Yarrowia lipolytica: one gene and its partners. The protein of the gene in region 1 purifies or fractionates together with the protein of each later gene. This does not show direct contact. Links are inferred from orthologs where the notes say so. Each region holds a gene or a part of one and is shown in the gene's direction. Other genes may lie near its edges. The genes, in order: YALI1_B19388g, YALI1_F11781g, YALI1_D16656g and YALI1_D14329g.

Region 1 (5,255 bases):
ATAGAGACATTGGGCGTTCTCGTGAGGACCACTAGCGATGTACACTGGGCCTGTAGGGTACGGCGGGGTCATTGGAACGATGGAATGCTCCACAATGTCGAACGCAGCACACAGTGACATATAGTTACGTCTGTAGCAGATCCAGCTGCCGTTCTCCTCTTCGAAGCCGCGATCCAGCCGCGCATGAAGTCTGATGGTGGCTGGTGTACCATCTGCGGAACAAAGTGCCACTGCCTGCTGAGCACTCACGAAGGGAGGACCTGTCTTGTAGAGCGACTTGGATCGGGGTGCAAGCTTCGGGGTGGCTGCTGGGGGCGACGACAATGGTGAAAGGGCAAGTCCCGAGTCTCGCTTGTTGACACGAGTGGGAGACGTCTCAGGCGATGAGTCCAATCGTCGTTCTGTGTTAGTAGGAAGTGGGAGATGAGGGGTATGAAGAGGTTACAACTAACTCGCTGGTATCATGATATTGCGTCTGGGTATCGAGATCAATCAAAGTGGGGGTATCAATATTAATTGGGGGTTGCGGGGGCTCGTGTTGTGTCGGGGGCGTTGTGTTTGTGGCCAACTAGTTGCAGTAGGGTGGGCCGTGACACAGAAGGAAGGTGTTGGTTATAAATATGCATAGGTTAATTGGAGTCACCTGTTAGGGTATCACTGTACATACTGTACATACAGTACAGGGTGGGTTCCAAGTACAATCAAATGGGCCCACAATAACTAAGTACCACTGAATATCAGTAGTCGCAGAAGGTCAAGACATACCAGTGATTGGTCTACTGATGCTAATTAGTTGTAAACAAGCTGCACCAGACTGATCATGTTTCAGCGCGGACCTTGTAGTTTTCTTACAACCCTACACCTCATAGAATAGACATTCCTTCATTACCAACCGTGTATATTTACAGAAGACTCAATAAGTTATTTGTCAGCAGCAGCGACATAGAGGACTGTGTTAGTGGTGTTATATATCATCTTTGTTGAATCTGTAATAGATGGGATAACTCGAGAAGCCCACAAGGCCAGTTGGTCGTCTATTCGCCTCAACTAAGCCGTGGGAATCATATTAAAAATCGATTCACATTCATATGATCAACGGCATTGAAGCCCACGCATTAATCTGAAGGCGATCGTGCTTATAGAGCTGCTGTCGTGATCCCCACTTCTTCTGGCCCAACCTTTACATTATTCCAAATGCCACTTTTATACTCACCATTGTTTCCTCGAATAAAAACGTCATCATCATAGATACCGACGACCTTGTCATCAACCAGCTCCTCAGCGTTCTCCAGAACAATGCTCATGTATCCATCAACAGACTGGAGGACGCCAGAGAAAGTGGTGCCGGTGGAGACCCGAACGTTGACCTTCTTGCCCGAAATCTCGCCCAGGAAAGACGACGGGTCGTATCGGACCTTATCTGTGGAGGACATTATCTGTTGTGTAGGGATGTTTTTTTCTTTGGTGGTGATCAACTTTTGGTTCGTGTGCCATGTTGAACTTACAACAAGGTGCCTTACCCTACCGGATCATGCAGGATCATGCAAGGCCTAAAAAAATTCTGGATTTTAGACAAAATTTAGATAGAGAAATTCGCCTGCAGGAATCCAAGTGAATACACACACTCACAATGGGAAAGAAGCAAATCGACCCCCGAATTCCGGCTCTGATCCGAAACGGAGTCCAGGAAAAGCAGCGTTCTTTCTTCATCATTGTTGGAGATAATGCGAAAAACCAACTCCCCAACCTGCACTACCTCATGTCGTCCGCAGACATTCGAATGAACAAGTCTGTTCTGTGGGCCTACAAACACAAGTTGCTGGGATTCACCTCGCACAGAAAGAAGCGAGAGACCAAGATCAAGAAGGAGATCAAGCAGGGCATCCGAGAGGTCAACCAAGAGGATCCCTTTGAGCTGTTTGTCTCTCTGCAGAACATTCGATACTGCTTCTACAAGGACACTGAGAAGATTCTCGGTAACACCTACGGCATGTGTATCCTGCAAGACTTTGAGGCTCTGACCCCTAATCTGCTGGCCCGGACTATTGAGACTGTCGAGGGTGGAGGTATTGTGGTTATGATGCTTAAGAGCATGGCCTCCGTAAAGCAACTGTATACTATGACCATGGATATCCACTCCCGATACCGAACTGAGGCCCACAATGATGTTGTTGCCCGTTTCAACGAGCGATTCTTGCTGTCTCTTAATGACTGTCGAACGTGTCTCGTTGTTGATGACGAGCTCAACGTTCTCCCCATCTCGGGAGCCAAGACAGTCAAAGCTCTGCCTCCTCTTGACGAGGACGAGGATGTTCCTGAGAACGTCCAGGCTCTTCGAGACCTTAAGGATTCTCTTGCTGACATCAAGCCCACCGGTGACCTGGTTAAGATTGCAAAGACTGTGGACCAGGGTAAGGCTATCCTGACTTTCATCGATACGATTGTTGAGAAGAACCTCAAGAGCACAGTTGCTCTTACCGCTGGCCGAGGTCGAGGTAAGTCGGCTGCTCTTGGTGTGGCAATTGCTGCCGCTGTTGGCCAGGGCTACTCCAACATCTTCATCACCTCTCCTTCCCCCGAAAACTTGAAGACCCTCTTCGAGTTCATCTTCAAGGGATTCGATGCCCTAGGATATGAGGAGCATGTTGACTACGACATCCAGCAGTCCACCAACCCTGCTTTTAACAAGGCCATTGTCCGAGTCAACATCTTCAAGTCCCATCGACAGACAATTCAGTACATTGTCCCTGGCGACTCGCATGTTCTGGGTCAGGCGGAGCTGGTCGTAATCGATGAGGCTGCCGCAATTCCGCTCCCCGTTGTGAAGAAACTGCTTGGTCCCTACCTTGTCTTCATGGCTTCTACCATCAATGGTTACGAAGGTACTGGTCGATCTCTATCTCTTAAGCTGATCCAGCAGCTGCGAGAGAGCTCTGGAAAGACTCAGATGGGCCGAACTCTGCATGAAGTTGTGCTGGATGAGCCCATCCGATACGCTCCTGGTGACCCCGTCGAGAAGTGGCTCAACAAGCTGCTGTGCCTCGACGCCACTATTGCTCCCAAGGCCAAGAATGCTGCCACTCCTCACCCTGACAAGTGTCAGCTTTTTGCCGTCAACAGAGACACTCTCTTCTCCTACCATGCGGTCTCTGAGGCATTTTTGCATCGAATGATGGCTCTCTACGTGGCATCTCATTACAAGAACACTCCCAACGATCTGCAGCTGCTGTCCGATGCTCCCGCTCATCAGCTCTACGTTCTTCTGGGCCCCCAGGAGGGTAACCAGCTTCCCGAGCCTCTGGTTGTTGTCCAGGTTGCGCTTGAAGGTGAGATTTCAAAGGACAGTGTTCGAAACGCCTTGTCTAGAGGCCAGCGATCTAGCGGTGACCTGATCCCCTGGCTCATGTCCCAGCAGTACCAGGACGACGAATTTGCATCTCTCTCTGGCGCTCGAATCGTCAGAATTGCCACCAACCCCGAGTACATGGGTATGGGCTACGGTGGCCGAGCTCTGGACTTGCTTCAGGATTACTTTGAGGGAAAGTTCACAGATATCTCCGAGCGAACGTCTCTCGAGAACCAGTCTATTGTCCGAGTTACCGACGCAGAACTTGCCAAGGGCAAGCTGACCGATAAGATCACGGTTCGAGACGCTGCCTCCATGCCTCCTCTGCTGAACAAGCTGTCCGAGATTCCTCCCCATCGACTCAACTACATGGGTGTTTCTTACGGTCTTACCAACCAGCTGCACAAGTTCTGGAAGCGAAACGGCTACGTACCTGTATACCTGCGACAGACAGCCAACGAGCTCACTGGTGAGCACACTTGTGTCATGCTTCGAGGTCTCAAGGGTCAGGACGACTCCTGGCTCGCCGAGTTCTCCAGTGACTTTCACAAGCGGTTCCTCACTCTTCTTTCTTTTGAGTTCAGCTCGTTCACCGCTTCTCATGCTCTATCACTTGTGGAGTCTGCCAAGTCGATGAACAAGAAGGAGAGAGTTCCTGTCACCAAGGCCGAGCTTGACCGACTCTTCACTCCCTTTGATCTGAAGCGACTCGAGTCCTATGCCAACAACCTGTTGGATTACCACGTCATTGTCGATATGCTTCCTGCAATTGCTACAATGTACTTCCGAGACCAGTTCCCTGCCAACATCAAGCTGTCTATTGTTCAGTCTGCTGTTCTGCTTGGTATTGGTCTTCAACGAAAGGACATGGACAAGATGTCTGCTGAGCTCAACCTGTCTGTTTCTCAAAACATGGCGATGTTCTCCAAAATCATCCGAAAGGTGTCCAATTACTTCCGAGAGGTGCTCTCTTCTGCCATCGACGAGCAGATGCCCAAGCAGCTTCATGAAGATGTCCGAGAGCTGGATGGCGAGGAGGATATGTTTGGCGAGGTCCAGGAGGATGTTACTGACGAGCTTGAGGAGGCTGGAGATGAGGTGACCGCGGCTCTTAGAGAGAAGCAGCGAGAACTCATCAATGCCTTGGATCTCAACGAGTTCAAGATCAACGACGATGACTGGGAGGGAGCCAAGAAGGGGGCTTCCAAGGCTGCTACCGGCAAGGCTGGCACAACTCTTGCTGTGCGCAACAGCAGCAAAGAGAAGAAGCGAAAGGCCGAGAGTGTCGATAGCATCTACAAAGAGGAGATGAACGCTCTCAAGTCTGCCAAGAAGAGCAAGAAGGGCAAGAAATAAACTAATGACATATAAAAACTGATAGATTTATTACAATGTATGTACAATTAATTAAGTAGAGTCACGATTATAAATATGTGCATGGTCTTTACTCAAGATCGTAATAGTCCAGAATGACATCAAACACCCAATCAAGAGTCTCGGCCACGTCGAAATCGGTGGTGGGCACGATTCGGATTCCTTCTCTGGTGGCGTCCTTACTGGGTTCTCCGTTGGGATTTTCGTTTTCAAACAGCTGTTTGTGGGTCTTTAGGTAACCGGGCCAAACAATGTTGTGGAAGTATCCCTCAGGATCCTTCCAAAACCCTTCCAGAGTGACGTATCCGGATCGAGCTTCTCGTCGAGACTTGAGGTTTTCGTAACTGGATCTGACCAGAATCTTGATATCGAACAACTCGGTGAATTGAGCGTCATGGTAGACCATGATACCATCCAGAATGACAATCAGCTTGTTCTCAAACTCAGGCATGTAAGGGTGCATTCGACGCTTAAAGGCGTCGACAGCGTTTTCATCAAGAGCAGCGGGTCCCAGGGAGTTCTGGTCCTCCTTCGA
Region 2 (4,644 bases), on another chromosome or scaffold:
AGCCCGTCCCATACAAGTACTTGTACATGTACAATTGCGCCACCTAACAAAGATACATATGCCAACATAGAAGTCCCGCAGTCGTTCTGAGCAGACAAATCTGGGTACAGTACTTGTACAATCACTTGTAGAAAGGTCGAAATGAGTCCACCATATATATTCAAACCCTTACCCTACTCATCTATAATACTTGCCACGTTACACACAGTACTCGTACCAAAAACTACTTGTACTAGAGGTACTCCTAAGCCACAGCTTATACAACATGCCCTAGGGCTATTTTATTAAATGCATGTCAATACATCTATTCGACGTTGTCCTCAAAGTTCTCAACGAGGTTGGGGATCTCGTCGTCACCGGCCTCCTTGGCGGCGTCAGGGCCGCCGGCAGTCTTCTTTGCCTGCTCCTGGAGCTTGGAGAACTGAACGGCGGCCTGCTGCAGCTGCAGAAGAGCATCCTGGCCCATCTGGGGGAGGATATCAGGGATCAGCTCAGCAATGTCCTTCTGCTGGGAAGGACCAGAGATAGCAAAGGTGTTGGAGGCGACGGAGCCCTCAACGTGGACCTTGGGGAAGTGCAGCACGGTGCCGTCCTCCTTGAACATGTTGACCTCAGAGATACCGGTGATCTCCTGGGCGTTGAACTTCTTGAGGGTGGCGGACAGCTTCTTCTCGTCCTCAGAGATGTTTCGGCCAGCAACCTTCTTGCCGGGTCGTCGGGGAGTACCCTTTCCACCTGGGTTAGTACGTGTACGTTGAGAAACGTTGCGATCGTACCCGGACACGGGTATTGACGGGCGAATGGCTCACAGGATGATCAATCATTGTCATCCCAACTCGATCAAGGCCACCCCGCATCCTTCCATGTGATCGTTTATGAGTTCGATCTCGTTTGTATCCATTTTTTCCGTCCATTTTTCCACGCAGCGGTTTCGGACAAATCCAACGCCGCCAATTCAGAGATACTCACCGGACTGGGCACCGGACTTCTTCTGGAGAGCTGCGAGCTTAGCGGGATCAACAGGCATTTTGTGTGGTGTTTTTGGTTCTAGCAAAAGCGACAGTGTATATCCAGTGCAAGTTTTTTGTCATCCGCGTGCTCAGATATACAGTTCGGCATCAAGCCCTACCCAGTTGGGACGAACCGAGGGTAACCACTCAAGAGCAGGTGCAACGAGGAGGCCGCTGCGGTCACGTGACCGCATTTTTGCGGGCGACCCCCGGCCATTGGGATGGTCCCGTGTTGGCGGGTGGCCTTTTTTGGTGCTATTTACCCACACATTTACTTGTCTGGGGCGTCTGTCCTGTCTCTTCCCTTCAGGTTTTGGGATTTTGAGGGGAACAAGCATTCACCTTTTTTAGAGTAGCTAGCTACCCCAACCCGTGAAGTTTATTCCGGGAGACTTGGGGTGGAGTTTTGCGGAGGATACAGCTGTGGTAGGCAAAGGGGGGAGTCTCCGTTGTGTTCAGCTGGCCAAATTGTCCAGATAAATGTTTTCCACGAAATTTTTCAGACAGGTTATGAGCTGCAAGGTTAAAATATTTCCCGAGCTTATTCAAGATATTTTCAAAGTCAGCATCTCAGATTTCAACCCACAATCCACAACACCGTGAACGATGGCCAAAACGAGTCAGCTCAAGCGGCTCAAGGAGACGCTCAAGAAGAACGATCTGACGGGCCAGACTAATGTCAAGGGCAATAAAAAGAAGATGAACAGCGGCAAAAACCGCCAGGACAGAGACAAGGTGCTGTCTGACATCCGGCAGCAGTTCAACCCTTTCGATGTCAAGGTGGCCAGGAAGAAGCATGATATTGGAGGCCGAACCGTACGGGGCAGTGTGGGACGACCTGGACTGTCCAAGCTCAGTGGCGAGGAAGCCCGTATGGAGGCTCGAAAGCTGGAGTTGCAAAACAAGGGACGGGTTGGAGGAGTGTTTGACCGGCGGTTTGGAGAGGGTGACTCCAACATGAATCCCGAGGAGAAAATGCTGGAGCGGTTTACGCGGGAGCGACAGCTTCGGTCGATGGGTGGTGGTCGAAACAAGTCGATTTTCGCTCTTGACGATGACGATGACGACGCCGACGCTGATATGATGCTGACTCACTCTGGTCAGGCTCTTGATTTCAAGGACGATTTTGATCAGGGCGATCTGGGTATTGAGGCCGAGGAGGACGAGGAGATGGCAGCCATTCTTGCCAACCGACGCAAGCTAGCAGAGGAGCGGGGTATGGGTGCTATGGGAGTCAATCTGGAGGAGATGGACGGAGTTGATATGGAGGAGGCGGGCACTGGCCGAAAGAAGAGCAAGGAGGAGGTCATGAAGGAGATCATTGCCAAGTCCAAGTTCCACAAGGCCGAGCGACAGGCAGCTCGTGACAAGGACCAGGCGATTATCGAGGAAATGAACGACGAGGACACCATGAATGCTCTGATCCGGGAGCTGGGATCTATCAAGGCCAAGAAGGTGGTGACAGCTCTGGACCAGAAGGAGAAGGAGTACGACCAGAACTTCCGAAACATGATTCTGGACCGTCGAGCCAAGCCTCAGGACAGAACTAAGACTGACGAGGAGCTGGCCAAAGAGGAGGCTGAAAAGCTCAAGAAGCTGGAGGATGAGCGACAGGCCCGAATGCGAGGCGAGGTTGCCATTGACCAGGGCGAAGGCGATGATCTGGACGGCAATGTGGCGTTTGACTTTGAGAATTCCGAGGAGGAGGGTGAGGATGATGAAGACGAGGCCGAAGATGATGATGATGAAGATGTTGAGATTCATGAAGTAGATGAAGACGAAGATGAGTCTGGCGATAAATCTGGTGATGAATCTGGCGAGGAGGAGACTACAAAGTCCGAGCCAGCCTCAAAGTCTTCCTCCTCCACTCTAGCATACACATTTCCCATCCCCAAATCACACAAGATGTTCTTGGAGACCACATCGGCCTACCCTCTGGACCAGCTGCCCACCATCATCGACCGGATCAACGTTTTGCATCACGCCTCGCTCAAGGAGGGCAACAAAGAGCGTCTAGCCAAGTTTGCATGCGTGCTCATCGACCATCTCATGTACCTCGCCGACGAAGAGGAGGAGGACGACTTTGAGTGTTTGTCTGAAGTCGTCGCTAAAGTGCACACTTTGGCGGAAACTCACAGTCCTACTATGGCTGCTCACATCAGAAAGAAGTTGGAGGCTCATCAGGCCGACACTACAGTTACGGCCGGTCATCTCATGCTGTGGACTTTGATTGGCATGATTTTCTCCACGTCCGATCATTTCCACCTGGTTGTGACGCCTGCGGTGCTCGTTATGACCCGTTTCCTGTCTCTGTCCACCTTTGACTCCATTCCCAAGTGCATTGCCGGGCTGTACACCGCCCAGCTGTTGATCCAGTACCAGCGAATTGCCAAGCGGTTCATTCCCGAGATTGCCGTCTTCCTGGGCCGTCTGATTGCTGCTCTGGAAGGCACTGAGACTTCTCTTCCCATGGCTTCTCTTTTCAAGATTGCTCCTATCAAGGGTTTCACTCCTGGTAAGGCTTCCCACAAGTCTACCGATAAGACCATCTCAATGAGATCAGCCAACCGATCCATTCTGAGCAAGAAGGAGGTGGCCACGCTATCTCAGGAGCTCCATAACCAGGCCGTGTTTTCCGTCTCCAAGCTCATGGACACATACAAGGACATTTCAGCCTTCCCTGAGACTTTCGAGTTCTGCGAGAACATTCCCGAGCTTGCAGACAAGTATAGCCGAATCACCAAGTTCAAGTTGGCTGACCGAAAGCCTCTCACTCTACACAAGCACCGACCCCTGGCCATCAAGACCATGGCCCCCAAGTTCGAGGAAAACTTCAACGTGGACAAAAAGTCGTACAACCCGGATATGGCGCTACAGGAGACCCAGAAACTTCGAGCCGAGCTCAAGAAGGAGAAGAAGAGCGCGCTGCGGGAGATCCGAAAGGACGCCGCCTTCGAGGCCCGAGAAAAGATCCGAGAACGACGAGAGAAGGACGACGCCTACCACGAAAAGATGGCTCGACTGGTGCGATCTGTGCAGACCGAGGAGGGAGCCGAAAAGAACGCCTACGAGAGAGAACGGGCCAGCAGAAAGCGAAAGCGATAGATGCAGAGCGGAGATATATAGAGAATTGTTTATTGTTGCAAGTAACCACTCGCTTCGCTCGTGGTTGCTGGTTGTATTCGTAGATGTAAGACGAGTAGAGTACTTACATAGATACTAGACACTTGAAATAACGGTTTCATTTGCTCACATCATTTACTATTGATATACATAGTCGGTGTATTATTCGTCTCTGGCGCAGCGTCCAGGAACTGTTTGATGAAGATGTTCATCTACAATAGATCTACTTCGATTTGCCTACAGTCCATTCATCTCACACAAGTCAATAAATAAATGCATTAAGTCAGGCGCCCAGGTTCATGTTGTCGGTCTTCTTGTAAAACTGGTTGAGCATGTCCACCACTCGTTCCTTGTCCTTGGGCTGCTCGTCATTGTCCATGTCTCTGTTTGAAGTCGTCTGATCTATGAACGACTCGTCGACATCGAAGTTGATAAGATCTCTTCGAGGAGCGGCTCCGGTGGCTGTTCCTGATGTGGCAGTAGTAGCCGTGGGAGCAGCAGGAGAAAGCCC
Region 3 (5,269 bases), on another chromosome or scaffold:
CTACTATCAGTATCTTAGTTAGCCTGTACTTGAACAAATATATCTGACCGAAATTCTCTGATTTTCTACGAAATACGTAAAAATGGGGGGTAAAAGGTCAAAATACCGAAAATCGAGACTGTAAACCGACTCACCTCCCCAAAAACACACACACATTTCTCTACAATACCACCATCGAGGTCCTCGCTCTATCACACTATTCGCCTCTGGAAACCTAACTCAAAAAAATTGTTACAGCATGCATACGGAACACAACGTCCATGGTCCCCCATAACTACACATCTACAATGGACTACGGCAAGATTCAGGAGTACATGGCGACGAGCCAGCCTCTCATGGCGATCGAGAAGCTGCAAAAACACCTGTCCACGGCCCCAGACGATCTTTTGGCGCTCCAATTACTAGGAGAAGCTCTACTGGAAATCGGAGAGCCCGAGCAGGCGTACAATCACATCAAAATGGCGGCCGACGCGGATCCAGACGGATCCAAGGGCGGCTACGAGAAGTTTCTGTGGCTGGGCCAGCTGGTCGGAGGCAGACAGGGCATTGAGTGGTACAACAAGGGAATTGAGGGCCTCAAACAGGACATTGCTAACGACGAGCACAAGCTGGGTTCGGGGTCGCTGGACCAGGACTCCGACCACACCAAGCAGGCACTCGCATACAAGAAGCGAAAGCTGTGCGAAACGCTGTGTGGAATTGTCGAAATCTGGATGACCGACCTGTGCATGGAGGAAGAGGCCGAGACCCAATGTGTCAACCTGATGGAGGAAGCTATCAAGACCGATAATGAGCATGCCGAGAGCTGGGCCGTGGTGGCCAGCGTGCGAATCAGTCAGCAGAAGAATGAGGAGGCCAAGGAGGCTCTTGCCAAGGCATGGGAGATTTTTGCCGTGGACCAGGAGCCTTCTCTTCCCTCCATCATGCAACTGACTAAGATGCTCATTGAGATGGGCATGCTTGAGCAGGCTCTGGAGGCGTCGGTTCGAATCCACGATCTCAATGATGAGGAGATTGAGGGTTTCTATCTGGCTGGCCTGGCCTCTTTCACGGCCTGGGAGCAGGACAAGGAGGACCTTACACACGCTGTAGCCGCAGCTTCTGCCTTCCAGCGAGCCTCCAAGCTGTACGAGAAGCAAACCAAGCAATTTGGCGAGGCTTCTTGCGACCCAGAGGTGGTGCAGCACATTCAGGAGATGTACGCCAAGCTGCCCTCCGATCTGGAGATTGAGGAGGACAAGAAGGAGGAGTATGACGATTCTTGGGAAAAGGAAATTGTTTACGAGGAGTAAATAGGATAGTTTTGATAGACTTATATGCTAAGATGAACATGGCGCAGAAGGAGGGTAGTCTGGGATCACCAACTGTTTGAGGAACGATCCAGAGTTCAGAAACGCCAAAACCGATGGCACGGGAAGAAAAGAAATGTCTGTAGCAGCAAAACAATATCATGTGGCATTTCTTTTGAGTAAGTATATCGCCACCAAGGGGCTTGTCTCCACTTCGTATTGAATCGTGTGCGTGTAGTGCCCAGCCTTGCAACAACAGTACTATCACCCTCCTTTTCTTCCCATAGGCAATTCTTATCATGTAAACGAGTTTATGGTCTGTAAAAGGTGGCTTCTGAGCATTCATCAATATCTCAAAAAATCTCCGCCTTGTCTACTAAAAGTGTGTGTCCTCTTCTACTACAAGTAGTACCAGTCCCGCCAGTCACCACTGGTGTAGAAAAACCGTGCATAAAGTTTTGCCAAAGTCTAAAAAAATATTGTAAGACGCACGGAGCGATATATCTCTGCCATCCATTTTCAGAACCACACAGTATGGGAAAACGAAGCAAAAGCAGCCGGTCCGGGCGAACCACGACCGCCGGCAAGGTGTTTTCGTCCAAGCGAGCCACGTCGTACAAAAACGAAACCGAGCCCTCCAAGCCCGTACCCAAGTCTCGAGGCAAGCATGCTCTGTTGAACGCCTTTGAAATCGCCGAGGCTGAGGAGCGAAAGAAGGCCCGTAAGAACGGGGAGGAGTACTCCGACGACTCCGAGGATCACGACATTGACGATGTTTACGATGACGGTATTGTTCGGTTCAACAAGGACGGAACTAGAAAGGTGTATCAGCCTGGCGATGAGGAGGAGGAGGAAGACGACTCGGAAATCGACTCTGACGAGGCGTTTGGCTCTGACGACGGCGACGAGGAGATTCTGGACTCTTTCGGCGTCAAGTCCAAGGCCAAGGCCAAGTTCAAGGCCATGGAGGACGAGTACGACTCTGTGGACGAGGAGGAGTTTGTGGATCTTTCCGAGGCCTGGGATCTGGACGATCGTCAGCAGGAGAACCTCAAGAAGAAGAGCGGTGAGAAGGCTGCCCAAAAGGAGGATGCAAAGAAGAGCTCAAAGACCAAGGCTACCACTTCTTTCAATCTTCAGGAGGAGGAGGATGACGAGTCACATGGAGATGATGAGTCTGAGGAGGGAGGATCTGAGCAGGAACAGGATGCGGATTCCGAGGACGTTTCTGACGGAGAGGAGATCGACTCTGATAACGACGACGATTCTGATGACGGTGACGACGACTCTGATGAGGAGGACTCGGACGGATCTGTCTTTTCCGATATCGATACCGAGTTTGATGAGGAGAAGGCCGACAAGCTTCGATCTCTCATTTCCAACATGTACGAGAACGACGAGGATGCTGAGTACGAGAAACGACGACGATACGAGAACAACAACCAAGAGGAAAATGAGTTTGGCGTGACAGTGTCGAAAAAGAACAATGATGGCAAGCTGTCTCTTTCGGACCTGACTTCAGGTGTGGACAAGAAGGCAGCTGCTAGTCTGTCTCTTCTTGGCAAGCCCGACGGCAAGTCCAAAAACAAGCCCCAACATGTGGCTGTGCCTCTCAGTAAACGTCTCCAGGACAAGGTGGAACGTAAGGCAGCTCTTGATCTGACGCGAGAGGAGCTGACCAAGTTCGACGACCTGATTGCCCAGGACGAGGATGCTGAGCATCTGGTTTTCCCCCGTCTTCCCGTCTACGACTCTGATGAGGAGGCCAAGCAGCTGCCCAACACCGGTATTTCTGCGCTGGCCCCCGAGAGTGCTATGGAGAAGAAGATTGCCGGTATCCTCAAGACTTCTGCTCTTGCCGACGAGTCGCAGGCACAAAAGTTTGAGGAGCTGGCCACCAAAAACATGTCTATGGAGGAGCTAGCTGCCCGACGAAACGAGCTTCGACGAATGCGAGAGCTAATGTTCCGAGAGGAGCAAAAGGCGCGGCGAATCAAGAAGATCAAGTCCAAAACGTACCGAAAGATCCACAAGCGAGAGCGAGAACGGCTCCGAGACGCCATGATGTCCGACGAGGAGAGTGACCAGGAGGACCACGACATCAAGCGAGCTCAGGAGCGAATGTCGCTCAAGCACAAGAACCAGGGCAAGTGGGCCAAGCGAATGGTATCGCAGGGTCTGACCAAGGATGCCGAGACTCGAGGAGAGATGGAGGAGATGCTTCGACGAGGTGAAAGTCTGCGAAAGAAGATGTCTGCTCGGGACGACAACGATGGCGACGAGCAGATTGACTCTAATCTGGGCGACGACCAGTTTCTGTCCCAGAACAGAGACGCTCTGGTTGATCCTGATGAGCCTGCTGAGGGAGCTAATCTGGGCAAGGGTCTGCTTGGCATGAAGTTCATGCGAGAGGCTGAGGCTCGTCAGAAGACGGAGAACCAGCAGCGAATCCAGGAGCTCGATCGAGCCAAGGCCAACTGGGAACTTGGGCAGAGTGACGACGAGGACGAAGGTCGAGTTGACACTGCCAACGAGATTCTCAACCAGGGTCGACGAAAGTACGCGCCCGGAACCAAACGGTCTATTGCCGATGTGCTTGCTGTCAAGATTGACTCTGAGCGAAAGGCTGATCTTCAGTCTGATGATGATGAGGATGATAATGACGACAGAGATAACGACAACGTGACTACTGTGGTCAAGAGCGACAAAAAGAAGGAAGGAGGTGCACAGGACGACGATTCTGATTCAGATGACGACGCCTCCAACCCCTGGTTCACCGAAACCAACATCCACAAGAGCAACAAGGTCAAGCCTGTGATGGAGGCTGAGGCTTCTGCACGAGACCGGCTGGCCCACAAGGTGGCCAAGCATCAGAGCCGGGTGGTGGAGAGTGCGAAGAGCAAAAAGGCCCGCAAGCAAGATAACATTCTCATTGACACTTCCGATACTCTTGATCTCGTGACTCAGGATCGAGAGGCCGACACTGACAAGGGTATCTCTTTCAAGCAGGATATGATCAAGCGGGCCTTTGCAGGAGACGATATCGTCGAGGAAGAGTTCATGGCCGAAAAGAGACAGCGAATCGCCGACGAAGGAGATCAGGAAATCGACATGACCCTGCCCGGGTGGGGAGGCTGGGGAGGAGAGGGCATGAAGGCGCCCAAGAAGCGGTTTGTCAAGAAGATCCAGGGTGTGGCCGTCGAGAAGCGTCAGGATCGAGATCTCAAGAACGTGATCATTTCGGAAAAGTCGGACAAAAAGTCGGACAAGTACCAGGTCAAGTCGGTCCCCTATCCCTTCGAGTCTGTCGAGCAGTACGAGGCCTACCTCAAGATGCCCATGGGCCAGCAGTGGACCACGGAGACTACCCACCAGAAGCTCATCAAGCCCCGAGTCATTGTCAAGCCCGGAGCTATCATCAACCCTCTGGATGCTCCTCAAAAGTAGTGTCCTTCATTCTAAAATCTCGTCAGCCATATATAGAGGCTTGGTATATATTTAAGTGTTATGAAGTATGCACACACGTAGTGTGCTAGTGATCGATGCCTATGACTTTGAGTGCTTTAGTCTGGTACAGTACACTCTCATTCTCATCTACTGATCGGAGTAATATAGTTGAACATTTTGTTAAACTATCTGGGGTAGAATGCACACACTGAACAAAGTCACACTTGCGTTACAATGTCTTTGGTTCCCGTCTATATGTTTGCCATTTTTCGGCCACTCATTTCCATTTCCGTATTCATCAAATCATTATTCATTACTGGTCTAACATGTCTACATGGGCCACATTTACAGATCCAAAAGGTTGCCGGTCTCCGCAGGCTTAGAAGCAGGAGCAGGAGTGGAAGAAGACGAAGAAGCGGGAGCGCCCCACAAAGCCTCCTCGTTGGACTTTTGGGCCATGGATGACAACGAGGTTGTGGGCTCGTTCTTCTTGGCCTTGGTAACGCCTGTGGAAGCGGTGCTCCACAGGTTGG
Region 4 (3,829 bases), on another chromosome or scaffold:
GGGTCTGCAGGATAAGATCACCAAGAGCAAGGAGCCGGCTTCGTATCTGCTGTCTTTGCTGTACTATGCATCTGAGTTCAGACGGCTGAACAACGGCTTTGGATCCACAGGTGTAGTGGATGACACAGTTGTTTGTCTGTATCTCAAGATGCTCATTGAATACGCTGGTACTTCACTACTGGCGGACAACAAGAGCCGCTCATCTACGCCAGTGGTTCTTGATGGAGCCAAGTTTGAGTTTCAGCCAGGCAGTGCCCAGCCTCCTGCTCTTCCTGCTCCTGCTACTACAGCGACCACTGCTGGAAAGAAGGAAGATGGCAAAAAAGAGAAGACGCGGGTTACTCGAAAGGATATTCTTCTGCGGGCCACCAATCTCATCAAGGCCTGCTCCAACAAGGTGGGTGAGAACATCAAGCTCGTGACGACCAAGGGTCCTCCAGCTGTGGCCTCCAGTAATGGTTCCTCAAGCAACAGTGGCACTCGGTCCAATTCGGAGGAGAAAGAAAAGGAGCCCACCGAGGAGCCTGAGAAATCTACCCAGGACTCGGATGTAGAGATGGCCGATGCTAACCAAGGCAACACAGAGACCACTGTTGAGCCCGAAGCAGAAGGGGAAGCTGACAAATCTGCGGAGGAGGACAAATCGGACAAGTCTGCTGAGGAGGAAAAGACAGACAAGTTTGCCGAGGAGGAAAAGTCCGCATCTGCCGAGCCGGCTGGTAAGAATACGCCTAAGAGCAAGTCGACTGGTTCCAATGGTGTCATAACCATTGATGAAGAATATTCGGCACCTGAATAAGGATTATGATTTATTAATAATTTACACGTAGAAATACAGTACTTGTACAAAACACAGCCTGCAACTTATAAGTTAGCCCTATCACACAACCATCTTGTGTGTGTGTGTGTGTGTCTCTCTCTCTCTCTCTCTAATCATCATCGATGGCAGCAGCCGATCTAGACACTCCCCACTTTTCTCGGTCTCGTCCGTCTTTGTACATGTTGATATCTTCCTTGGTTGGTTTCTCCATGGTTGCCTGTCTGAGGTTCTCATCTTTCAGGGCCTGTTCTTCCTTTTTGCGCTGGTCCGATTTCAGTTGCTCAACTGTGTATTCAGCAAACGCCTGAGGCTCAATTGCTCCACACAATAGTTCCACGGCTATTGTGGAGTTCTTACTCTTTAAACTCACCAGGCGGGTTCGGACGGCCGACTTGTATTCCGGCGAGATTCCGTAGAGGTCAAAGAGTCGCTGTTCGACCTCGTTTGCCACCTGAGTCGAGATTTCGTCGTCCTCCTCGTCTTCGTCGGCGGCTTCTGCCAGGGCCTTTTGCAGCGACTTTTTCGTTCCGTTTCGCACCTCCATGGGCGATATCGCCGACACCTTTTTTGTGCGCGCCTCGGCCTGTGATTTCAGGTACTTTTGCTTCCAGTTAGTCGGCAGCTTGGCCATGTCTATGTGGTTCTTGAGAGGAAGGCAGGTGTGTATGGAGGGAGCTTGGATAACTTGGAAGAAAGGTGCATGAGACAGGCATGAGGGATGCTGGGATCAGGTTATGAGGAGTGGTGAATGGAGAGATTTTTCTGTGTTCCAGAGCAACAGTATGACCAATCAACATCTTATGATATCACCACTGTGGCCGCCGTCTCATTTATCTCTTTCATTCCTGGGCTAGTCTCTGCCTACTGTCCAGCTCGTCATGGGTTACCCTGCATATGCAAGATAGCGAAATTTTGGCAGGTCTGGAATTTTTTTTGACTACAGTTTGACAGAGTGCAGGCTCGACTTGAAACAGTACACAAACATGGCGAAATTATCTCTGGCCGAGCAGATTTCTCAACTGGCTAACCCCAAGCCCAAGGATGTGGATATCGAGAACTTTGAGGACCGTGACGATGGTTCCGAGAGCGGTGGAGACGTGGATTACGACAGTGATCTAGCGACAGAGCACTATGTCAAGGTCGGCAAGAGCAAGCTGCGAGATGATGCTCCTGCTCTAAACCCCAAGTACAAGGCCGGCAAGGTGAGCAGGAAGGCTCTTTATGACGACGAGGACGAGGACGGCGATGGCGCTGACGGTTTCATTGATGAGGACGACGAGGACGATGAGGAGGACGATGAGGAGGGAGAAGGCAATGGTTTCATTGACGACGAAGTTGAGGTTGATGAAGAGGACCAGGACGAAGACGGAGATGAAGACATGGAGGATGAGCAGGATGAGGACGAGTCTGACGAAGAGCTGTCTGAGAACGAGAATGACAGCTCGGCTAGAGCCACCCTCAAGGAGCTGCTGAGGGAGGAAAAGAAGGCGTCCAAGCAGCAGGCCAAGGAGGCTATTGTTTCCGACGCACAAAAGGGATTCGCCATTCACAAACAGACCGATCTATACGAGACACTTCTGGACGCGCGAATCACATTCCAAAAGGCAGTCCAGTCTGCCAACGCTCTTCCTATCAGCGATACTAAGGCCGAGGAGCTCGGTGAAGACATCACCAACACTCTTCAAGACACAAAGGCAAAGTTGTCGGACTTCATCTCCCAAATAGCCAAGATGCGACACAACATGGCTGTGCAGGACAATGTGTTTGCTGCCGACTCCGTCAAGCTATCGACCAAGCGAACTTTTGATGCCACTCTGGATAACATGGACAAGCTGGATACAGAATTCAAGGCATACGAGACTTCTGTGCTGAGCAAGTGGTCTCAGAAGGTGCAGGCCTCATCTGCGGCCTCCGCTCTCAACTCCTCCAAGTTCAAGGCTCTGAACCAGTCTTCTGCCAACCAGGTCGCTGCTACTCTGGCGGACATGGACCGACTTGTCAAGCGAACTCGAATGAATCGATCCAACGTTGTCATTCTTGGCGAGGAACAGATGGGCGCCATTCAGGACGCCGAGGGCGAAAACTACTACATCTTTGATGACTCAGACTTTTACCGAAACTTACTCAAGGATCTGATTGACCGACGAATGGTGGATTCCGGCTCTCAAAGCAGTGGCGTCAAGACCTGGACTGCCACAAAGGCCAAGACCAAGAAGAACGTGGACACAAGAGCATCCAAGGGTAGAAAGCTGCGATACCATGTGCAGGACAAGGTGCAGAACTTTGCTGCTCCCCGGCCGGTTTTCACCTGGGAGGACGATCAGATCGACGAGCTGTTTGCCGGTCTTCTGGGGCAGCGAGTCAACTTCAACGAGGACGATGATGGAGAGGAGAAGGAGAAGGAAGAAAAGGAAGAAAAGGAGGAGCAGGAGTTGGTTATTCCCGACGACGGTCTCCGAATCTTTGGTTAGTATCAGTGGTTTTAGCATGGGGTTTTAAGTAGATGTACTTTAATAATAGAGGCAGGTGCCAAATGAAAATGAAGAGTATACAGGGCGTATTAAGTAGTGTAATAAGAATAAATAGTAGTAAAAGTACAGTATATACTGGCATTATTGTTTGGCCGGTTTCTTGATCCCTCTGAGTTTCAATTTCGGCCGTGGCTTAGACTGTAGCGTTCTGGAGAGCTCTCTAGTTTGTTGTGCAAGTGATCCTTTCTGCTTGGTAGAATCAAACAGTCCACCGTGGGATAGAGACTTCAACCTGAGTTCTTGCTCCGCCACTAAACCCCTTTCCAGGTGAGGAACCATCACTTGCGCTTCCTTAGCAAGAGGTAGATCCCGCAGAAGTCCCATTTTGTCCTTGAGAAGGTTGTCTCTTTGGTCTTGGGCTTCCAATGCGCGTTTTTGACCTCTGAACCTGTTCCTCATCTTATATGACAGGTCCTGGTGGTATCTGGCTTTGTCCAGATGTTCATCATACATTTTCTGTGTCTCTTTGGCCGCGTCA

The links.
Region 2: the proteins of YALI1_B19388g (region 1) and YALI1_F11781g purify together in Saccharomyces cerevisiae (affinity purification with mass spectrometry; 3 studies listed by BioGRID). This does not show direct contact. The link is inferred for Yarrowia lipolytica from reciprocal best matches to the Saccharomyces cerevisiae genes KRE33 and NOP14.
Region 3: the proteins of YALI1_B19388g (region 1) and YALI1_D16656g purify together in Saccharomyces cerevisiae (affinity purification with mass spectrometry; 3 studies listed by BioGRID). This does not show direct contact. The link is inferred for Yarrowia lipolytica from reciprocal best matches to the Saccharomyces cerevisiae genes KRE33 and UTP14.
Region 4: the proteins of YALI1_B19388g (region 1) and YALI1_D14329g purify together in Saccharomyces cerevisiae (affinity purification with mass spectrometry; 3 studies listed by BioGRID). This does not show direct contact. The link is inferred for Yarrowia lipolytica from reciprocal best matches to the Saccharomyces cerevisiae genes KRE33 and BFR2.

Annotation. Positions count from the first base shown.
Region 1 is NC_090771.1:1,935,215-1,940,469, reverse strand, and holds YALI1_B19388g (uncharacterized protein), read left to right. Parts: upstream 1-1,630; coding exon 1,631-4,702; downstream 4,703-5,255. Other genes in the region: YALI1_B19390g (uncharacterized protein), read right to left, coding at 1-401, 1,214-1,433; YALI1_B19348g (uncharacterized protein), read right to left, coding at 4,791-5,255. UniProt on the Saccharomyces cerevisiae protein: RNA cytidine acetyltransferase with specificity toward both 18S rRNA and tRNAs. Catalyzes the formation of N(4)-acetylcytidine (ac4C) at positions 1280 and 1773 in 18S rRNA.
Region 2 is NC_090775.1:1,175,118-1,179,761, reverse strand, and holds YALI1_F11781g (uncharacterized protein), read left to right. Parts: upstream 1-1,616; coding exon 1,617-4,115; downstream 4,116-4,644. Other genes in the region: YALI1_F11787g (uncharacterized protein), read right to left, coding at 305-735, 970-1,027; YALI1_F11729g (uncharacterized protein), read right to left, coding at 4,417-4,644. UniProt on the Saccharomyces cerevisiae protein: Involved in nucleolar processing of pre-18S ribosomal RNA. Has a role in the nuclear export of 40S pre-ribosomal subunit to the cytoplasm.
Region 3 is NC_090773.1:1,662,214-1,667,482, reverse strand, and holds YALI1_D16656g (uncharacterized protein), read left to right. Parts: upstream 1-1,823; coding exon 1,824-4,736; downstream 4,737-5,269. Other genes in the region: YALI1_D16672g (uncharacterized protein), read left to right, coding at 261-1,292; YALI1_D16609g (uncharacterized protein), read right to left, coding at 5,082-5,269. UniProt on the Saccharomyces cerevisiae protein: Involved in nucleolar processing of pre-18S ribosomal RNA.
Region 4 is NC_090773.1:1,430,936-1,434,764, reverse strand, and holds YALI1_D14329g (uncharacterized protein), read left to right. Parts: upstream 1-1,803; coding exon 1,804-3,291; downstream 3,292-3,829. Other genes in the region: YALI1_D14391g (uncharacterized protein), read left to right, coding at 1-799; YALI1_D14333g (uncharacterized protein), read right to left, coding at 930-1,451; YALI1_D14304g (uncharacterized protein), read right to left, coding at 3,433-3,829. UniProt on the Saccharomyces cerevisiae protein: Involved in endoplasmic reticulum to Golgi transport. Involved in a protein-transport step blocked by brefeldin A, which disrupts the Golgi apparatus and its incoming protein flux. May also be involved for mass growth or cell proliferation.